Linked DNA regions of Sus scrofa. The protein of the gene in region 3 purifies or fractionates together with the protein of the main gene of each other region. This does not show direct contact. Links are inferred from orthologs where the notes say so. Each region holds a gene or a part of one and is shown on either strand. Other genes may lie near its edges. The genes, in order: RBBP8, EDC3 and USP4.

The links.
Region 1: the proteins of USP4 (region 3) and RBBP8 purify together in Homo sapiens (affinity purification with western blotting; 3 studies listed by BioGRID, with this or other methods). This does not show direct contact. The link is inferred for Sus scrofa from reciprocal best matches to the Homo sapiens genes USP4 and RBBP8.
Region 2: the proteins of USP4 (region 3) and EDC3 purify together in Homo sapiens (co-immunoprecipitation; 3 studies listed by BioGRID and IntAct, with this or other methods). This does not show direct contact. The link is inferred for Sus scrofa from reciprocal best matches to the Homo sapiens genes USP4 and EDC3.

Annotation. Positions count from the first base shown.
Region 1 is NC_010448.4:107,920,601-107,927,798, reverse strand, and holds the start of RBBP8 (DNA endonuclease RBBP8), read right to left. Parts: upstream 3,831-7,198; 5' UTR 3,649-3,830; intron 1-3,648. UniProt on the Homo sapiens protein: Endonuclease that cooperates with the MRE11-RAD50-NBN (MRN) complex in DNA-end resection, the first step of double-strand break (DSB) repair through the homologous recombination (HR) pathway.
Region 2 is NC_010449.5:58,851,079-58,857,767, reverse strand, and holds part of EDC3 (enhancer of mRNA-decapping protein 3), read right to left. Parts: intron 4,133-6,689; coding exon 3,813-4,132; intron 1-3,812. UniProt on the Homo sapiens protein: Binds single-stranded RNA. Involved in the process of mRNA degradation and in the positive regulation of mRNA decapping. May play a role in spermiogenesis and oogenesis.
Region 3 is NC_010455.5:31,899,461-31,906,776, forward strand, and holds the start of USP4 (ubiquitin carboxyl-terminal hydrolase 4), read right to left. Parts: upstream 4,918-7,316; 5' UTR 4,760-4,917; coding exon 4,659-4,759; intron 1,877-4,658; coding exon 1,749-1,876; intron 1-1,748.

The DNA.
Region 1 (7,198 bases), on a different chromosome or scaffold from region 3:
GGCCCCATTCAGTGGGTTAAAGATCCAGCATTGCCATGAGCTGTGGTGTAGGTCGCAGATGCAGCTTGGATCCTACGTTGCTGTGGCTGAGGTATAGGCCAGCAGCTAACGCTCCAATTTGACCCCTAGCCTGGGAACTTCCATATGCTGCGAGTGGGGCCCTAAAAAGCAAAAAACAAACACAAAAAAACTTGTTATATATTATATTAAAGAGGTGTAAAGAATATTGATGTGCTATACCTACTATGTTCTAGAGACTGCTAGGTATTTTGTATACAATATCTTGTTTGATCCTTCCAAGAACTCTTAGAGAATGGTAATAGTTTTCTTAATTTACAGATGGAGAAAAGAGAACTCAGGGTTAAATAATTCCCAAGGGTAAACTAGTTTGCAGCAAAATCAGTATTCAAACCTATCTCAGTTTGTCTCAAAAATCCATACATTTTTCAATATACTACCTTTTCTCTCTCTTTTTTTTTTTTATTTTCCCACTGTACAGCAAGGGGGTCAGGTTATCCTTACATGTATACATTACAATTACAGTTTTTCCCCCACCCTTTCTTCTGTTGCAACATGAGTATCTAGACATAGTTCTCAATGTACCTTTTCTCTTGATTGTAAAGATGAGAAACAAATGGAGGTAATTATTTTCTAGAGTTCACTTGGAATGAACTAAATTTACCAAATTTAGAAGCATCCCTCAGGTAAGAGTTTATCTGTGAAAAGATAAGGGGTTTAGGAAAATTAACTTTTAGCTTAAGAATCAGAATTGAAAATTTTGAGCCTTTGGTTTTCAAGCTTTCTGTGGTCCTATTTCCTTGAAATTCCTCAAGTTAAAAACATTTAAAGCATTTTTGAGCACTTGTGTGCAAAGTACTGTATTAAGATCTCACCTTTTAAATAACAGGTATATCTCCCCTAAGATGGATTTTGAATCCTGCAATTCTGGACTTCATAAACTTACTGAAATTTTCCTGTCAGTTCTAACCAAAGTTTAGAAGTACTAATTTCTTAGGTTAAATCCTAAACTATAGCCACATAAAAGTGATTAAAACAATACAAAAGTATATACATACTTATATACATACTAAGAAAATAAACTGTTGAGACAGTTTAAAGCAATAATAAATCAGAAGATAACTTATTTGCCTAGAAATAATCTGAGCAAATTTGAAGGAATGTGTGGTACTCTTAGCAATTTGATACAAAATTTTGTGAGAGCATTAAGAGAAGAAGGTAGCAAAGAGGTGGTCATATCCATTACCAATGGCATCCCCATAAATTCAGCCACTTGATACCAAAAAAGGTTTGGGGGCAGTAATTATATAGATTAAAATATAAAAGCAAATAATTTCTTGGTTAAGCAAATACTCCTTAACATACCTTATATAGCCCAATTTTACCTTTTTACAAGTCCTTTAGTAAACAGAATAAATTGCAAGTAGTATTCAGAAGAGTCTGCATGGAGTAGTGAAAAAAATATTAGTCCGGGCTGGTATTAGGAACCTGGGATGTTCTGGTCTCATCTCTACCCTTAGCTTGTATAGTAGTGAGTTAGCGACATTTGGGGGCTTTTTATTCAACTAAAAAATAAGTTGAATTCATTAGTTATTTGTAAAGAGTCCTTGTAGCCCAAAATGTCATGATTCTAAGTGCTTTTGGTAGGAAATACATGAATATATTCAGGAAGGGAAGAGGTTATGTAGTTGTTAAGAAAACTAGCATGGATGACAAAAAGAGTCATTGTATGAAACTTTGTGGCCAGGAATAAAGACAAAGGAATGCATCCTAAACTAGACTTAGGGAATAAAAAGATTTTTAAATGACTAGATCATTTTTTGACCTGGGCCCTCAGATAATACAGGGCTATGTAAAATACACACACAGGCAATCATAGACTTCTAATTTGATTGATTAATCCATATATTCTTAATTTCAATCAAAACATCACAATGTATCAGTATTTTAAAGGAATTAATTTATGGAAAATACATGAAAGTATTTAATAGGACATTCATATATTTGAAACTGGAAATCCTATTAAGGATAGGTAATAGCTGTAGAATCCCTCTCCAAAATGTAGAATCCCTCTCCAAAATGTAGTTAGACTTGAAATTTTACCCACAAATTTTATATGGATATATACATCTAGTTCCTAAATAGCTTTCCTTAAAACCATAAGCATAAAAAATCCTTAATGAATAAATTGGAATCCCAAATTAAGTTTATATTTAAACAGTATTTTAAGCAAGGTTTAAAAATCTTAAATTACTATATATATTTACTCTAAACAGTAAAAGTGTACTCTGTTGACATATATCTACATTTGGCTTGAAAATTAATTGAAAAGAGAAAAACTCAACCAACTAAAATTTTTTATCTATATTCTCCAAAAATTGTCAGAATACAGTTTATGCTGAATCAGCACATTACTTTTGCAGATTCAATATTACATAGCTTTTTAGAAATTTAGCTGATTATCAGAAGTTTTATGCAGAATTGCCTTGGGGTAGGACTAAACAGCATGCAAAAGGTTTCCCTGCAAAAAATGAAATCACATCTGAACATTCATCCTCACTTTAAAAAAATTCTTTATTAGCATTCTAAGGAAACATATAGCCTTTAAGTTTGAACATAATGACAAAGTGAGGGCTCTATAAGGACTATGAAAAGGATGCCTTAGTATTGCTCAGTTCAAGGAAAGTCATGTGATGGCCTGGAGATAGTCCTTGAAAATATTTAGTATAAATCTGTTTTAAAAAGTTATTTTAATTTCCAGATAAATTTCATATGTCAGCTGATACGTTAAGTTGAATGCCCGGAGGATGTGTGCACTCAATTCAATCTAATATTAATAACTAAGGGGGTAATTTGGTATGCCAAAACAAATCTAAAGGGCTTGATAATTTTCATTTTAAATGAAACAGGTTACTAAAATAAATTATTTGGATCAATGAAAGAGAGAGAGAAAAGAATTATTTTAAAATATAAATTAAAGGAAGACCCAAATATTCTTTAACCTAAAAAGGTTTTCAGACCTAATAGGCATGACAAAACCTGTCTTCATTCCTTTCTATTCAGCTCAGCAAGTGCTTTTGAGCTCCAATAGTTAATCAGTTACCAGATTCCACAATCTTTGTTTTTCACACTCCTCATTTCTTGCTGTGAATTGTTCTTCTAAAGTACTTAACGATCACCAGGCAGGCCAGCACTATTTTTTATGCCTTAAAAAGGCCATTATTATTTTATCCACAATTAGATTTGCCATATAAAACATTACCATATAGCAACAGCCTGTAAAATATAATAGTATGTTATCAAAGAAGTAGATGGCTTAAGATGAATCATTATATTAATAGGTAAAATATATTTAGCAAAATTATTCAACCCACTTTTCTTAATGACTACAGCCATGCCCATTTTACAAAGACTTATAGCAGAAGTGTATTATATACCAAATAACCTTTATCTAAACAAATCAATGAACATATGTACAAATATTATAAGACAGTATCTAACCAGCTTTATATAAAAGATAGAATGCAGGTACTACCGTGTTAAAAATAGATTATCTTAAACATCATTTCTTAATTAACCTTCTGAAAGTGCTTAGAAAATTGAGAAAGATAAAAAAATACATTAACTTACCCTTCAATTTACTTAGAAAACTTCTGCTCTTGGTCAAAAGCAGCAGGTGTTTCACTGCTGACTTTCCCTACAGCTATGAACGTACACAGTAAATCAGTGGGAGACACCTCTCTGGACCACGCTAGATTGCTAGACACCACTGCTGTGTGGAAGAGTTCTGCTGCATCTAAGCTATATAAGGTTTGCAATGGATAACCTAATATGCCTTTCATTTAACTGGCTGGGCAGGTTTCTACCGTCTGTGGAACATGGAATCAAACCAGAATATGTTGGCACAGCAGGCCAGTCAGACCGGTTCTTCTGTAGATCCAGAACCCGTCCAACCAGTCTGCATCAAAGGCTAGCCCAACAAGCTGCAGCGGCTCAGCTCTGCTAAGCTTGTACCAGGTAAGTTATCCCCACCTCCCGTCAACTCCCAACAAACTGCTCAGAATGTTGTAGCCTCCAGCAAAATAATTCAGAGTTCCAGTGGGAGGGGTAGATCTGTGTCAGGTACAGCAAGAGTCCATTGTTATAAACCTCTCATTGTAGATAACTTGAGTGTCTACCATCCTCAGGGGCAGGTAATCCATTTTTAAATGTACTCCAGGGCTTTGCAGACTAAAGCCTCTAGAAGATTACAATGAAGAAGAATCCATAATACCTTACCTTTCCACTAGTCCACTTGGTCTTGCTCAGCTTTGAAGTGGCAGGGAGGATGTCGATATTCCCCACAAGGGCAGTAGCCCTGAGAGTTTGAAGGAACCCTTTCTAGAGGGAGGAAAACAAGATGTGGGTTGACCAGACTTTTGCCTGGGTGTGTTATCTTCCTTGTACTCAAATGATCTTCATACCATTCCAGTCTAAAATTGGAAAAACGCCTATTTCTACATACTAGGACAACCTGGAGAGGTTTTACTTTGGATATTCATCAGTTGAACACAAATTCTTGAAAATGACTGTGTGCCACAAACTGTGCTAGGTACAGGATTATAATGGTGAAAAAAGGAAAATTTAGTAAGAGATGGGATCAGTGTCCAAGTTGCCACCTAAGTGTGTCTTCTAATCTTTTGGATGGAGGAAGTGAGCAACACAAGATCACATTTTGACAGAAATTTATTTGTATTAAGGGAGATCATGTGAGATTTTTTTCTTACTCTCATGATATTTATGCATTTAAAAACAGTCTTTCCTATCTACTGATGGAGATTCTCCAGCTTTCCTGTTAAATATAATCTGAAGTGTTGATTAAGAACACAGATTATTGGACCTCACCTCCTGAGATACTGATTCAGTAGGTCTGGGATGTTACCCCAATACTTCAGGTGATCCTGCTGTAGTTGTTACAGGGACCTAGGCTCAGCCTCCATGTTTAGCTTCTTTTCTATTTTGGTACCTAATTAAGTAAACTATATATTAATTTCAAGATGCCATATTTATCTTTGTGTCTTCAGTGTCTAGCGCAGAAACTTAGAAAGTATTTAATAAATGCTCACTGAGTAAATATCTACTCAGGGGCAACACTTGCTAGATCCCAGGGTAATCACAACTGATAACTGTTATATGAATTGAACTGCATGAGTACTATAATTAGAATAACTGGAGTTTCCATTGTGGCTCAGTGGGTTAGGAACCCAACACAGTATCCGTGAGGATGCAGGTTTGATTCCTGACCTCGCTCAGTAGGTTAAGGATCCAGTGTTGCCACAAGTTGCTATGTGGTCACAGATGAGGCTTGGATCCGTTGTTGCTGTGGCTGTGTCATAGGCTGGCAGCTGCAGCTCCCATGTGACCCCCTAGCCTGGGAACTTCCATATGCTGCCGGTGCAGTCCTGAGAGAGAGAGAGAGAGAGAGAGAGAGAGAGAGAGAGAGAGAGAGAGAGAAAGAGAGAATAACTGAGGTAGGAGCACAGAAAAGAGAGCAAGTATGACTGAGTATGGGAAAGACCTCACAAAGGAGATTGGTTTAGAAACTTTCCTCTTTAACTATGACCAAAGATTGCTATATGCAGGATAACAAAATGTTGAGGGAACAAGAAAAAGAATGCCTTTGATGTAGTGACAAAAGTTTTAGGTACCCAAGGACACCATGACCTCAAAACTTAGTAAGAAGGTTATTTTCTATAGCAGGGATCAGCAGAATTTTTTGTAAAGGATCAGAGAGTAAGTATTTTAGTGTTTATGGGCCAAATTGTCTCTGTTTTAGCTATTCCTCTCTAACATTGTAGCACAAAAGCAGATGTAAACAATATTCGACAAATGGACATGGCTGTGTTCCAATAAAATTTTATTAACAAGTGACAAGCTGGATTTGACCCATGCTCTAGAGTGTACTTTGTGGAAATTAGCAAGATTGCATAATTGCTTAGGAATATAGGCTTGGAAGTCAGAAAGACTTGGGTTCCATCCCAATTCTGTTCCATATTAGCTTTGTCACCTGAATCAGGCATCTGTTTTATTTACAAGATGTGAATGAAAGTAGTAGTACATAACCCCTAGGGTAATTATAAAATTCAAATAATAAAATTCACATGAGGCTTTATCCAAAAATCTAGTACACAGTGAGGGCGCCAATAAAATGTCAGCTAAAAATAAAACCAGTTAAACATGGTAGGTGAACATGGGTGATTATTTCTATTAATTCTAAAAGTCTACCAAAATGATAGTAAAGAAAACAGCATGAAGAGAATGAGAGAGGTAGCAGAAAAGAGGTGTCCATAAATTTGGAAGAAGATATGAGGATGAGTGTTGATTGCGTTATTTAACATGCTGAGCAAAGCTGAGGTTGAATAGTAAAGTAATGAGATTGTATTATTTTCCTATGGCTGCTATAACAAATTGTTGGAAGCTTAGTGGCTTAAAAGGACACAAGCTTTTTATCTTATAGTTGTGGAGGTCGGAAGTCCAAAATGGGAATCACTGGGTTGAAGTCAGCAGGATCAACATTCTAAGATACAAAGAGTCAGACAGGTTGAATTCCTTTCTGGACACTCTAGGGGAGAATCTGTTTTCTCATCTTTTCCAGCTTCTAGAGGCTGCCTGTGTTTTTGACTCATGGCACCTTTCCATCTTCAAAGCCGGCAATGGCCAGTGAAGTCTTTCTTACATTACATTATTCTGACATTGACTCTACTGCCTTACCCTTTTGTATTTATATCCAGCTCTATGGTCCAGGATAATCTCCTTGTTTGAAGGTCAGTTGATTACCAACCTTAATTATATCTTCATTCTTAGTTCCGTCTCTACCATGTAACAGAACATATGCACAGATTCCTAGGATTAGGATGTGGACATTTTTGAGAGACCATTATTCTGCCTACCACAGAATATACCATTCAGTATAGATAAGAGTTCTCTACTGAATCGTGACATGCCCAGTACCATTACACTGTTTGGCTTCTGAATGCTGGTAACCAGGTTTGTAAAACTCGTTGTGAAAGCAGAAAACTGGAGAATTTCTCTCCAAGAAACTCTCAAAACTCTCATCACCTTAATGCAGTGGTTATTAACTAGGGATAATTTTGCCCCCAGGGGTCACTGGCAATGTCTGGAGAAATTTTTGATTGTAAAC
Region 2 (6,689 bases), on a different chromosome or scaffold from region 3:
ATTTATAACAACTTTATTCATAATCACCAAAAGCTGGAAGCAACCAAGATGTTCTTCAATAGGTAAATGGATAAACAAATTTTATATATTCACACAATGGAATATTATTAAGCAATAAAAGGAAATGAGCTATTAAGTCACAAAAAGACATGGATGAATCAAATACATATTGTAAAATAAAGAATCCTGAAAAGACTACATATATGTGATATTCTGGAAAAGACAAAACTACAGAGATAGATGATAAAAAGATCAGTAGTTGCTTGGTGGGGAGTGGGGAAGCAATCATGGAGGGAAAATGGAAAAGACTGAATAGGTTAAACACAGGGATTCTCCACAATACTGTATTGATAGATATAAAATAACATGTATTTGTCAAAGCCTTCAGAACTTTAGAGCACAAAGAGGGAGCCTAATGTACGTAAATTAAAAAAAAAAAAAATCATTGAGGAGGTTGGAGGAGCCCAGGATGGAGTGCAGAATGCAAGCAAATGATCTGTTACAAATATATGAGACTAGTCAATAAAGAGGATGGGGGCATGGGTTAGAGTTAGCAATTCTGATACTGTATACTGGAATTAAATAATTTAAGTCAATGATGAAAGACAGTATGGATTTCTTGCTGTTGGGAGTAAGAGGTTACAGATGAGAAAAGGAAGCTAGAATGAATCATGTGGTGATGGATTAGACTTGGATACATCAACATGAATTCACATTTAGCTTAATATAGTAGTGAAGGTTATATATATATATATGTATTTATTTACAGGAGTTCCCGTTGTGACTCAAGGGCTTAAGAACCCAACTAGTATCCATGAGGAGGTGGGTTTGATCCCTGGCCTTGCTCAGTAGGTTAAGTATGTGGTGTCACCATGAGCTGTGGTGTAGGTTGCAGACATAGCTCAGATCTAGTGTTTCTGCGGCTACAGCTCTGATTTGACCTCTAGCCAGGGAACTTCCATATGAGGCAGGCATGGCCCCCCCCCGCAAAAAAAAAAACAAAATGTATTTACAGATATGTGTATATACACTGGTTTAAGTACACACATATATTTTCTTGCTCTGTCAGCTGAAAGGGTGACACCCAGCAGCAATAAGCACATCTACTGCCTAGATTGTGGTAATACCATTCTCTAATAAAATGAAACAAGGTCCCTAGGGCTGGGGCAGAAAACACAGATAAACCTAGAGCATCTTGCAGTGCCTGAAAGGGAGGAAGTTCCAGGAGGCAGGGAATGTATAATGGGGGCATGCCAAAGGGACACAGTAGCCAACTGAAGGAGCACCCAGTGGCCAAAGCTGAAACAATATGAGCAGCAAAATAAAGTGGAAATGAATTATAACCCAAAGGATAAAATAAATACTTATAAGTCCATACTCATAAAGATAAATGACTGAATAAGTAAATGAGGGAGAAGAAACAAATCTCTGGAACAGAAAAATCCCAAATAATTTATGTAGATACTCTGCATGACTCTCGACTTCTTAGGGGTGGGCTGCAGAATGACTTCAGAGGACAAATCTGACATATACTACCTCAGCCAGGCACTTGAGGTCAACATCAAAGTCAGAAACAAGGGAGTTCCCATTGTGGCTCAGTGGGTTAAGGATTGATGTTGTCTCTATGAGGATTCAGGTTCAATCCCTGGCCTTGCTCAGTGGGCTGAGGATCCAGTGTAGCTGCAAGCAGCAGTGTACGTCGCAGATGGATCTGGTGTTGCCATGGCTGTGGTGTAGGCCTTAGCTGCAGCTCTGATTCATCCCCTAGCCCAGGAACTCCCATGCACTGCAGATGCAGCAGTAGAAATAAGTAAAAAAGTCAGAAACCATGTTGTTAGTATATACTCTTGATATATGATGAAAATGACACTTTATCTCTGTGATCTTCCTTTCCCAATCACATGACCCCGGTCTAATAATAAGAAAAACATCAGGATTTCCCATCATGGCTCGGTGGTTCAAAAATCTGAGTAGCATCCATGAGGACACAGGTTTGATCCCTGGCCTCGCTCAGTGGGTTAAGAATCCAGCAATGCTGTGAGCTGTGCTGCAGGTGGCAGATGTGGCTCGGATCTGGCACTGCTGTGGTTGTGGTGTAAGCTCTGATTCAACGCCTAGCCTGGGAACTTCCATATGCCACTGATGCAGCCCTAAAACAAACAAACAAAAAAACCAAATACCAATTGAGGCATAGTCTACAAAAATATCTGACGAGTACTGTCCTGGTCATCACAAAACAATGAAAGTCTGAGAAACCGTCAAAGTCAAGAGAAAAGGTGACTCCTACATGTAACATGGTATGCTGGATGAGAGCCTGTAACAAGGACACTGGGTAATAAAAACTAAAGCAATCTGAATAAAATATAGATTTTGGTTAATGTCTCATCACTGTTTCATTAACTGTAACGAATATGTCATAAAAATGTAAGATGTTAATAATAGGCAGAAAATATGCAGAAAAAAATTTACAAATTGCTAACAGGCACTGTCTCCAAGTACAGTACAATTATAAATTGCTTGAATATTTGAACTTTTAATAAACAAGTCAATTTTTTGATAAAGAAAAAAGTTTTTTTTTTTTTAAGAGAATAAAGCAAAGTAGAAAATGTTAAAGTCTAAACGGAAAAAGTCATTTTCTATCTAAGCATTTTACAATTTTTCAAAGGACACAGAAGAACTAACAATTCAACTTCAGGTTCAGGTCTTCATTTGTCAATTCATATAGTTATTTAAGATGTACTGAGGCAAAGTGCCTCAAAATACATTTAAAAAAAAATTTCAGGGAGTTCCCGTTGTGGCGCAGTGGTTAACGAATCCGACTAGGAACCATGAGGTTGCGGGTTCGGTCCCTGCCCTTGCTCAGTGGGTTAACGATCCGGCGTTGCCGTGAGCTGTGGTGTAGGTCACAGACGCGGCTCGGATCCCGTGTTGCTGTGGCTCTGGCGTAGGCCGGTGGCTACAGCTCCAATTGGACCCCTAGCCTGGGAACCTCCATATGCCGCAGGAGCGGCCCAAGAAATAGCAAAAAGACAAAAAAAAAAAAAAAAAAAAAATCAAAATGTCAGTAGCTTATTCACAGAATCAGGCATTTTGAAAACTTAAAAATGTTGGGTCCTGAAAGGCCACACAGAGTCTAGTGGATCTGTTATAATTCACTACTGTAACATTACTCTAGTAAATATGTTAAAGAGCATACCAGATTCTAGTGAATTAACTATGGTCTATAACGAGTAAATGGCATTCAACAATTCATTAGTACCAAACAAAACTGGGAACAAATACACACACCAGTGCATGCTCTCCTTGATGTGCTAGCAGGGAGTGAATACAGCAAATCTAAAATTGTCAGTATGTCAGATATTTTAAGATCACAGAGATGTCTAGGCCCATCGCTTCCTCTCTTCTAAGGATGGGAATTAAAATACAAGAAGAAAACTTATTTGAGAATCCCCTAGAACAGCTTAAGTGTAAGTTCAACCCAGGTATCACTACTACCACCAGTTAGCAGATTAAAAACAACATCGCTTTTGTCTGTGTGAACTCAAGACAGATGAATGACTTTTTTTGGAAGGAAGGGAAGTGGTGAGAGAGGGCGAGGAGCTGGTGTGAGTCTCTAACAGCTTATTTCCTTTCCCTTATTATCTTGAGGAAATAGTTCCAGAATGAAAGAACCATGCTATATTTTTGTGAAGCTCTGCCAGCATCTTTTTTTATTAGGGTAATAAAGGATTTATTTAAAGACTAGCAATGAATAAGAGCTTATAGACATGAAACATCAGGTAAAAAAGAAATATTAACTCAATCCAACTTACAAGAGTTGTGCCGACGCCGGAAGCTTTTGGACTGACTCAAGGACTCCATGTGCCTATCCACATAGCTCTTTGAGCACTGCTGCTGCTGGGGAGAAACGGCAACATCTTGGCTCTTGACATCTGTCCTCTTAGGGATGTTCTGAGGGGCACTGCTGGAAGAGGCTGGCTTTTTAACCAACTTGCCCATGCCATTCTGACCAATACCTACTTGGCACCCAACACCAGAGGGGCCTAATTCTGCCTGATGAAGGTCTCCAAAATGTTGGTTTTCTCCAGGACCTGGTATCTCCAGAATTTTTAGTTCCGTAATGTCACCTGCCCTGAAGTACACAAAAGAGCCCAAGTCAAAACTATAATAGTGATAACAGTGATGAAAATGGGATCAAAAAGAACCAGTTATACCATAGCAGGGCAGCATTTCAATGAGTCATCAAAGGCAAAAACTAGAAAAGGTGGTAGAGTACTTAAAGATAAGGCTCGGCCACCAACATTCAACTGTCACAGCACTGGCCTTTAAAGAGACCTACTGTTAACCACACAACTATTATTAACATCTTAGATTTCTAGAATGCTTAATTAATGGCTTTTTTTCATTCATTCACTCATCTACTCATTCAATAGGTATATACAGAGTACTCACAATGTGCTAAGTTCTGTATTACGAGTGGAGCATACAGAGATGAAAAGCAATACATGCCCACAAGGAATTCACAGTCTAGTCAGCAGAAAATTCAGGTAGGTAATCACAAGTGTTAAAAACCATGACAAAAGGTGTGCACTGGGGACCAATGCACCCCAAAGCAAAATATATGTTAGTTTGGCAGAGATGGATCAAACACTTAAGCTAAGTCTGGCTGGGGAGGAAAACAAAGAGTTGGCAAAACAGTCTGGTAGGGAGAAGGGCACCTCAGGCCAAGGCTCAGAGATGGAGAAAACGTGGGCCATCTGGAGAACTTCAAATGTGACAGGGTTACTAAAGGGAAGAAAGCTTGTGCAGGGCCATTAGGAGGTCAGGCTGTGGAGGAAATTAGGGACCAGATCATAATCACAATGGATTTTCCTGATGGCTACAGGGAAGGTGGAGAAATTAGAGGCAGGGGCACTGGTTAGGAGATAAAGAACATGGGGATGAACAGGGCAAGTGACAATGCAAAGGAAGTGGGAAGGATGGAACCAAGAAATACCAGGAATCCACAGAATTTGGTGACTAACTAAACATGAGGATCAAGAGAAAGACTTTATTATGATTCCTAAATTTCTAACTTGGGTGAAAGGTGTCATCAGTCACTAATTAAGGATAGAACTTTGGAGGAAGAAATGTGCAGGTAACATAGTCAGCTCAGCTTCGAAAATTTTAAATTTAAGATATCTGTAGGATAGCCACTTGGAGATGACCAGTAGACAATTAAAGTGTATATAACACAGATAATGGGTCTAATAAAAATCTGGGGTCTCATTAATGTGTAAGAAGGTATACAAGAGATTGTCTAAGGAGAATACAGACCAGGAAAAGAATCAAAGATGGAACTCCGACTAAATCCATCTTAAAAAGTGAGTAGAAGAGGAGTTCCTGTGGTGGCGCAGCAGAAACGAATGTGACTAGGAACCATGAGGTTGTGGTTCAATCCCTGGCCTCCCTCAGTGGGTTAAGGATCCAGCGCTGCCCTGAGCTGTGGTGTAAGTTGCAGACGCAACTAAGATCCTGCATTGCTGTGGCTGTGGTGTGGGCTGGCAGCTGTAGCTCCGAGTGGACCCCTAGCCTGGGAACCTCCATGTGCCGCAGGTGTGGCTCTAAAAAGCCAAAAAAAAAAAAAAAAAAAAAAAAAGTGAGTAGAAGAAAAGGAACCTGTGGGGCTGGGGAGAAAAAGTGTATAAAGGAATGGAGGAATACTTGGGAAGAAAACCCAAAGGGGTAACAAAGAAACTAAAAGAAGAGGTCACTCCAACGGTTAGGGAACATCTGAATAAGATTAGATTAGAACTAAGACACTGCCACTGAATCTGGCAATTAGGTCATTTTTAATCTCAGCAAAAGCTAGCTCAGGAGTTCCCACTGTGGCACAATGGGATCAGCAACACAGGTTCGATCCCCAGCCTGCAGTTTGATCTGATCCCCAGCCTGGGAACTCCATATGCCATGGGGCGGCCAAAAGAAAAACAAAACAAATTAACAAAAGCAGCTAGTTCAGCAAGATGGTAAAGACAGAAAAAGATAATGGTGGGGTAGAAAGAGGCTAGACTAAGACACAAAGGGAGTAAAAGGAGACTATATTCGACCCTTGAATATGGGTTTGAACTGTGTAGGTCCACTTAAACGTGGATTTTTTTTTTCAACAAAATACATATTACAGTACCACATGATCCACAGATACAGAACCATGGATACTGAGAGTTACACCAAGATTTTGGATGGTGTAGGTGGTTGGCCTTCTAACCTCCTCACTGTTCAAGGGCCAACTGTATTCTACTCTGAAAAGAACTGTGAGTCTAAAGAGAAGGAAACCGACAGGGCAATACCTAGGGCAAATGTAAGGTGTGTGGAAGGGTAGTGTTTATACTATGGGGGAGGCCTGAGAATGTTAGAAAGAGAAGAGAAAAGAGCCAGTATTAAGGTTGAAAGTGAAGACACAAAAGAAAAGGAGCAGGGTCTCAAAGGAGATAAGAAAGCATAGCTCATAAAGCATATGTGATAAGGTTGGCCCTGAACACAAAGGGCATTCCTTCCATGGAGACTTCAGAGGAGATAAGAAATAAGAATTGATATGCCTACAGAAAAGGTTATGTGTGGGTGTTACGTAGGAAGTCAAGGAAGCTCTAGCTCAAGACTTTTTTTTTTTTTAAACATAAGAAAGGGAGGTTATCTGCCAAATTTATAAA
Region 3 (7,316 bases):
CCTAAGCCAAGTGACATCAAACTGGAAGACCATAAAAGGAATGCTTGCCCTTAGCTGAAACTCATGAAAAATAACTTCAAAGGGTCCCTCCAACTCTAGGACTCTCATCACCACTATTATTAAAAGCCTTAAGAATACTCCTTTTCAAAAAATAAGGGCGGAGGAGGAAGACAAAATACAAACGTAATGCAATGACCTTTTGGGGCAACTTCATGGTATACTGCCACCATCTGACCCACATTAGGGAAAAAAACCTATGACATTATGTCCTTTAGACTGCCCCTAACACAAAGTATACACTGAAGCACTGCTCATGCTCATTTTTTAAAATACCCTGGTTAAGAGTTCCCATTGAGGCTCAGTGGGTTACGAATCCAACTAGTATCCATGAGGATGAGAGTTAAAGATCTGGCATTGCCGTGAGCTATGGTATAGGTTGCAGATGCAGCTCGGATCCTGAGGCAACTCCGATTCAACTGAGAAATTTTATATGCCTGGGAAACTCCATATGCCAGAGGTATGGCCCTAAAAAGCAAAAAATGCCCTGACTGTGGACCAAGGCAACAGATCACCTTTGTACTCCTCTTACAAGAAAGTCTAAGAGTTCCCGTCATGGCTCAGTGGAAATGAATCTGACTAGCATCCATGAGGACACAGGTTCGATCCCTGGCTTCACTCAGTGGGTTAAGGTTCCAGTGTTGCCATGACCTGTGGTGTAGGTCAAAGACACAGCTAAGATCCTGTGCTGCTGTGGCTGTAGTAGAGGCCAGTGGCTACAGCTCCAATTTGCCCCCTAGCCTGGGAACCTCTATATGCCAAGGGATCGGCCATAAAAAGACAAAAGAAAAAAGTCAAGTCTAAAACCAGGCAGAAAAAAGCCTAGGAAAAGCCAACTGTCATCTCTTTGCATCTATAGGTGAAAGGTAGGTGAAAGCCAAGCTCAAATGTGTCACATATCACTTTTCAGTCACTTCTTCCACTGGAAACTGACTGTGATCATAACTCTACTGACCTTCCATCTCCCCTTACACTTAACTTCCCCTGACAAAAACAGCCATCACAGGAATGCTTGGTGAATGTTGACAGGTACAATTTGTTCCACTGCAAAGGTAACACAGAAAATTCTGGTTCCCAAATTTCAGATTCCAGATGTAATTTCAAAATGATAACCTATTTCTTTCCATTCAATAAACTAAGCTAAAATCTGAAATCAGTAGCAGAATTAATTTGAAAAAGAGAGACAGGCAGAAATTTAAAATACAAGGGGCAGGAGTTCCCATTGTGGCTCAGCAGAAACAAATCTGACTGTTAACCATGATGACTCAGATTCGTTACCTGGCCTCGATCAGTGGGTTAAGGATCCGGTGTTGCCATGAGCTGTGGTGTAGGTTGCAGACACAACTCAGATCTGGCATGGCTGTGGCATAGGCCAGCAGCTACAGCTCTGATTTGACCCCTACCCTGGGAACTTCCATTAGCCATGGGTGCAGCCCTAAAAAAAAAAAAAAAAAAAATGCAAGGAGCATGCCCCAGGCTCTTGGTAACAGCAGTTAATTTAGGCAAAAAGCAGCTTAACTTCCCCCTGAGGGTCTACAAAGATTTTTGGTATAGGCACAAGTCAAGGACACTTGTTTCTATGCCTTTACTGTAAGAAAATCAGGTTCATAATGCCCAGGTTACAGAGAAACATGACCTCAGGCCACTACCCAGGTGGACATTTCAGTTAGAAAAACAACAAAATACCGCACCTGAAAAGAGTCCAGAGTTATCTATGGGGCCAGGAAACAGATTGTGTTCACCCACATTGTACATATCCCAGCTGTCGAAGCCCACATACTTCTTCCACTGCTTGAACCACCGGCTGTCAATAAGATACCTAGAGACAGACAAAAATTTACTGTACCAGAATAGCTGAGGTTGTAAGTTTCTGCAGCTGCTCCCTTAATTTTTTGTTCATGGTCTTTCCACTTGGGGAACAAGTAATTTCCATAAAAAACACACTCTCAGAGTTCCCGTTGTGGCTCAATGTAAACAAACCTGACTAACACCCATGAAGACACAGTTCGGTCCCTGGTCTCACTCAGTGGCTTAAGGATCTTATACTGCTGTGAGCTGGGGTGTAGACTGCACATGTGGCTCAGATCTAGCATTGCTATGGCTGAGACATAGGCCAGCAGCTGTAGCTCCGATTCAACCCTCAGCCTGGGAACTTTCATATGCTGCCAGTGTAGCCCAAAAAAGCAAAAACAAACAAACAAAAACACACACTCTCGGGAGTTCCCTTTGTGGCTTAGCAGGTTATGAACTAATATCCATAAGGACATGGGTTCAATACCCAGCATTGCTCAGTGGGTTAAGGATCAGGCATTGCTGTGAGCTGCAGTGTTGGTCGCAGATGTGACTCAGATCACACACTATTGTGGCTGTGGTATAGGCCGGCAGCTTCACCTCCAATTTGACCCTTAGCCTGGGTATTTCCATATGCCACAGGTGTGGCCCTAAAAAAAAAAAATTAAAGTAATCCTTTCCAGGAAATCCCTGTGGCCTAGGGGTTAAGGATCCAGCGTTGTCAATGCTACAGTTAAGGTCACTGTAGTGGCATACATTCGATCCTTGGCCTGGGAACTTGTTCATGCTGTGATGCAGCCAAAAAACAAAGAAAAAAAAATTCTGCTATGGGGAAAACCTTTTTTGCTAATGACCATCTCAACAATTCCATGATAGTTTGGTTATAATGCTTTGCTTGACAAGAACAGCACTAAACAAATTTTCTTTTTAAAAATGAGATAATGGAGTTTCCGTCATGGCTCAGTGGTTAACGAATCCAACTAGGAACCATGAGGTTGTGGGTTTGATCCCTGGCCTCACTCATCAGGTTAAGCATCCGGCGTTGCTGTGGCTGTGGCGTAGGCCAGCAGCTATAGCTCCGATTAGACCCCTAGCCTGGGAACCTCCACATGCCAAGGGTGCGGCCCTAGAAAAGCCAAAAAAAAAAAGAGATAATAACATCACACACTTCAGTTTTCCTTTGAGGACCAAAGTAGCAAAAAATGTGTGTCTGTATTTGTGTACAAATGTGTACACATATACAGGTATACAAACACACATATGCATCATACAATATTGTCTTGGTATGTTTATCTTCTCGATAACCATTACGTTGATCTGGCTATATTTTAATTTTTTTTTTTTCTTTTTAGGGCCGTACCTTAGGCATACAGAAATTCCCAGGCTAGAGGTCGAATTGGAGTTACAGCTGCCAGCCAGCCTACACCACAGCCACAGCAATTCAGGATCCAAGCCACATCTGCAACCTACACCACATCTCACGGCAACACCAGATCCTTAATCCACTGAGCAAGGCCAGGGATCAAACCCACATCCGCATGGATCCAAGTCAGGTTCATTAACTGCTGAGCCACAAAGGGAATATGATCTGGTTTTACTTTAAAAGTATCACTATGCTGTTCTACAATTAAGACAAAAGGAGGGGGAAACCTCTGTTGGGGAACAAAGTACAACAATTATATTGGGAAGTCCTTCAAATTTTATAACCAACAAACCTCAGAGGAGATCAGGTAGCTTCTCCTAAAGGCCACAAGGATCCATAAATATATTCAAATATCTAAACGCTCTTTTCTCTCCAAACCTCTTGAACATCCTCCAAACACTTTTACTGATTTTAGTCTATCTGAAACTTCCTCTGCTTCTGTTGAGTATTCTTCATATGCCACTTCTGATCAGGATATATCATCCACAAGTACTTTTTGCCCGCCCTGCCTTTCACAGATTGGCTAGCACAAGACACACCTGAATTCCTCCTAATCCCACTGTTTCTCTTCCCTGCTCAAGTCCTCTGTCACACTAAGTTTCTTGGAAGACAACCATAGTTTCTTAAAGAGGGATGCTCAGTCACATTCAGTGCAAAGCCAAGCCCCAGCTTTCAGCTCCCACACAATACAATAGTGTAAGTACTATTCCTTCTCCTAGAAAATTTATTAAGAAACTTCTGACTGAGACCTGCTCTTCTAAATCTTGGACTTTTAATCTTTTTAGCTAGGCTCTAGGTTACCCCTCTCTCTCACTCCGAAATGCGGCTGCTACAATTATCTTTGACATTTGCTACCAAAATAATGAGACTCTCAGACATTTGTTCAGCTTCCGACCTTGATGTCTGTTCCGCAGTTTACAAGTTACAAAGTATCTACTTCTGATCTACGCCTCAACCAACTGACTGCGGGGGGCGCCAAATGTCGCTACTCTGGTTTTAACAGTAAGGAACCAGGGTCTGTGAGATGTGGACGCCTTTGCCCAAAGTCACAGAGCGAATCCTCAAATCTAAAGGGTCTGCTCAACCTGAGGGTCCCTGTGAGCATTCCCCTTCTTTCCATTCTGCAGCCCTAGACCCCGCCGGATCCGCCCCCTGAGCTCTGAAAGGGCCGGGACAACCTTCTGCTCCACCCACGCTTTCCCAGAGAGGATCTAGGGCTCCCTCTCTTCTGTGGCGGGGGGTCAAGTCAAACTCCGGGGTCACTAACATCGCCCCTGCCCGGCCGGAAAAGAGGGTCCCGGCCCAAACAGGAAAAGAGGGGATGGGCCTGAGCGCCCAAGCCCCGCCCTCTGGCCCTGCGCGGCGGAAACGCGGGTTCGGCGCTCACCACTGCGCCCCTCGTTGCAGCGTGGTCCTCATTAAGGCCCCGAGCTCGGATTTCTGGGTCTCTGCATCCGGTCGTTCACGGCAGCCTCCGCCTTCCGCCATCTCGTCAGCGGCCCCGGTCCAGCCGGCCCGGACATCCGCCTCGCGCACAGCGTGCCGTGGGTCGCGAACACGCACTCACGCACGCACGCACGCACGTGCGCGCACCCAAGGACCTTCTCGCGCCGCGGCTTGTACGCTTGCCCTCTTCTGCCTTTCCCCCACCCTTCCAACGCGCCAACCCTGTCCCACCCGTGCGCGGCGGAGTGGGCGGGGGTTGGGGGAGCGGCCGGAAGAGGAAGTGGGCGCGGGGCGGGGGTGGGTAGGAGCTGCCGCTTCTTCCGCCCTGAAGGCCAAGCCACGGGGCGGCGGTCCTGCACCACTTCTCCTTTCAGCTCGGCGATCTTTAGGAGTCGGTCCGCAGACCCCATGACACCCTGGGCACCTCTTCTGGATTTGCAGGGTTATCCTGGTCTTAATAAAGGCAGCTCGGGTGCAAGGAGGCCTAGAACTAGGTCTTCTTTTCACTCCAGCCTTTCGGCTTTCAGCAGAGACCTTACGTTAGTCCTTAGCTGCCCAAACTTGGAATGGATCTCCATTCCCAGAGGCACTACAGGGATTTTAGAGGGTGTTAGGTGCACCAGCGCCTTGGGACCGAGTCTCGACGGTGTGGCCTAGTCGTTAGCAAGCTGGACGCCAGTATAACCTAGCCCAGGCAGTTACACAGGCCCCTGAGGTAGCTACTTGCTTTGTCGGGGAGTCAAGCAGCCGCAGAGGGGCAATAGCAATGGGGGAAGGAGAGGTAAAAGTCTGTTCTCCACATCAGATGCCGGGTTGCTGCTCTGTTTGTTGTTGCAACAAGATAGTGTTTGAACACCATATGTTTCCCACTCAACCCTGCAAACAAAAATCACAGCCCTCTTCCTGGAGGAGGAAGTAAACCCAGAGCAAGGTGGAGGCCAGACAGCTAGCCTATGTGAATCTAGCAGAGAAAATAAGATATACAAGGCCCAGTACCTGCCCTTATTTGATCTATAGGAGGAGAATAACTCTTCCACAAATGACCCCAGAGCCAAGCAGTGTGGGGTAAATGCCACTAACAGGTAGAACCAAAGATTAGACCCTGAACTGTGAAAGGGCGCCTTTGACTTGAGTAGCATTTGAGCGTGATCTTGAAAGCATAGAAATGATAGTGCATGTTAAAGGAGGAATAACTAGAAGGGTCAAAGAAAATTTCTGGAACTAGCAGGGTGGACGGAATCAAAGAATGAGGATTAGTCCAATTGAGCTGGGCACAGATTACTGAAAGGGCTTGGGATCTGAAGCTCAAAGGGAGGCCAGAGGGGCCACATGTCTTGCCTTAAACAGCCCACAGATATTGTGGGAAGTTTCAGAGCATAGAGAAATGGTTGAGGGTGCTTTATACCCACAGTGCTACTAGGAACCTTGGGAAAGATGGCTGTGAGGGAGGAGAGGAGAAACAGATGAACTGTGTTCATTTTTAGGGGTAGAAGAGATAGAGGTGGCCTGGTGAAGGTGTGGTAAGTCATTTGAACAGATTTACTATTTTTATGTTCGGCTTTTGGCTAATTGAAGTTACTTTGCACTCCTGGGACATCCACTATGCACCGTTTAGTCGAAGAGATCTCTTCACAGTGGGTAGGTAGCAGGGAAAAGTAAATTTGGAGTTAAAACTGCCTTGAGGGAGTTCCCATTGTGGCACAGCAGAAAGGAATCCCTCTAGTAACCATGAGAATGGGGGTTCCATCCCTGGCCTCCCTCAGTGGGTCAGGAATCAGGTATTGCTGTGACCGGTAGTGTAGATCGCAGCTGCAGCTGGGATCTGGCATTGCTGTGGCTGGGCATAGGCCAGCAGATAAAGCTCCAATTTGACTGATAGCCTGGGAACTTCCATATGCTGCAGGTTCGGCCCCAAAAAAGACAAAAACAAACAAACAAAAAAAAACCACCAAAAAAACCCTGCCTTGAATAACCACATAGCAGTTAATCCTCTGCAGATAGAAGTTACATGACAGTTCTACCTCTGGGAAGCCAATCCTGATACCCCAAGAAATGACGTTCTATGAAAGTTCTTTGAAATTGTTTAAAATTGTGTCAAACAAGAAACATTACCTTTAGCCCTATTTATGGAAAAAGAAAGTTGGGTTACTGACAGTACTTCAGAAACTACATTAGAATGTCTGCTTCCCTCTTCTTTTTTTTTAGCAGTTTCTCCTGTACCATTTATGGCCTGGGTCAGAGTCTTATGGAAATAGGACAAGTCATCAGCACCACTAGAAAGGGGGACAAAACCTAAATATAAAAATAAAAACTTTGGAAGATCATTTTAAGCCTGTGTCTCTTCAGAGCTATTAAATAGCTGTAAAACTAATACACTAATTATGGGTATTTCATAAAGATTTGTATTAAAATTATTAAGTGCCAATAGTTAAAATGCAAGGAATAAAGTGAAAATTCATTATCAAAAGATCACCATTATTTCCAAAGTTTAAAAACTTTCTTAGTCTGATTAAATGTTAAAAACTGAGAGTTCCTCTGTGACTAAGGGAGTTAAGGATCTGGCATTGTCACTGATTCGGCTTGGGTCACTGTTATGGTG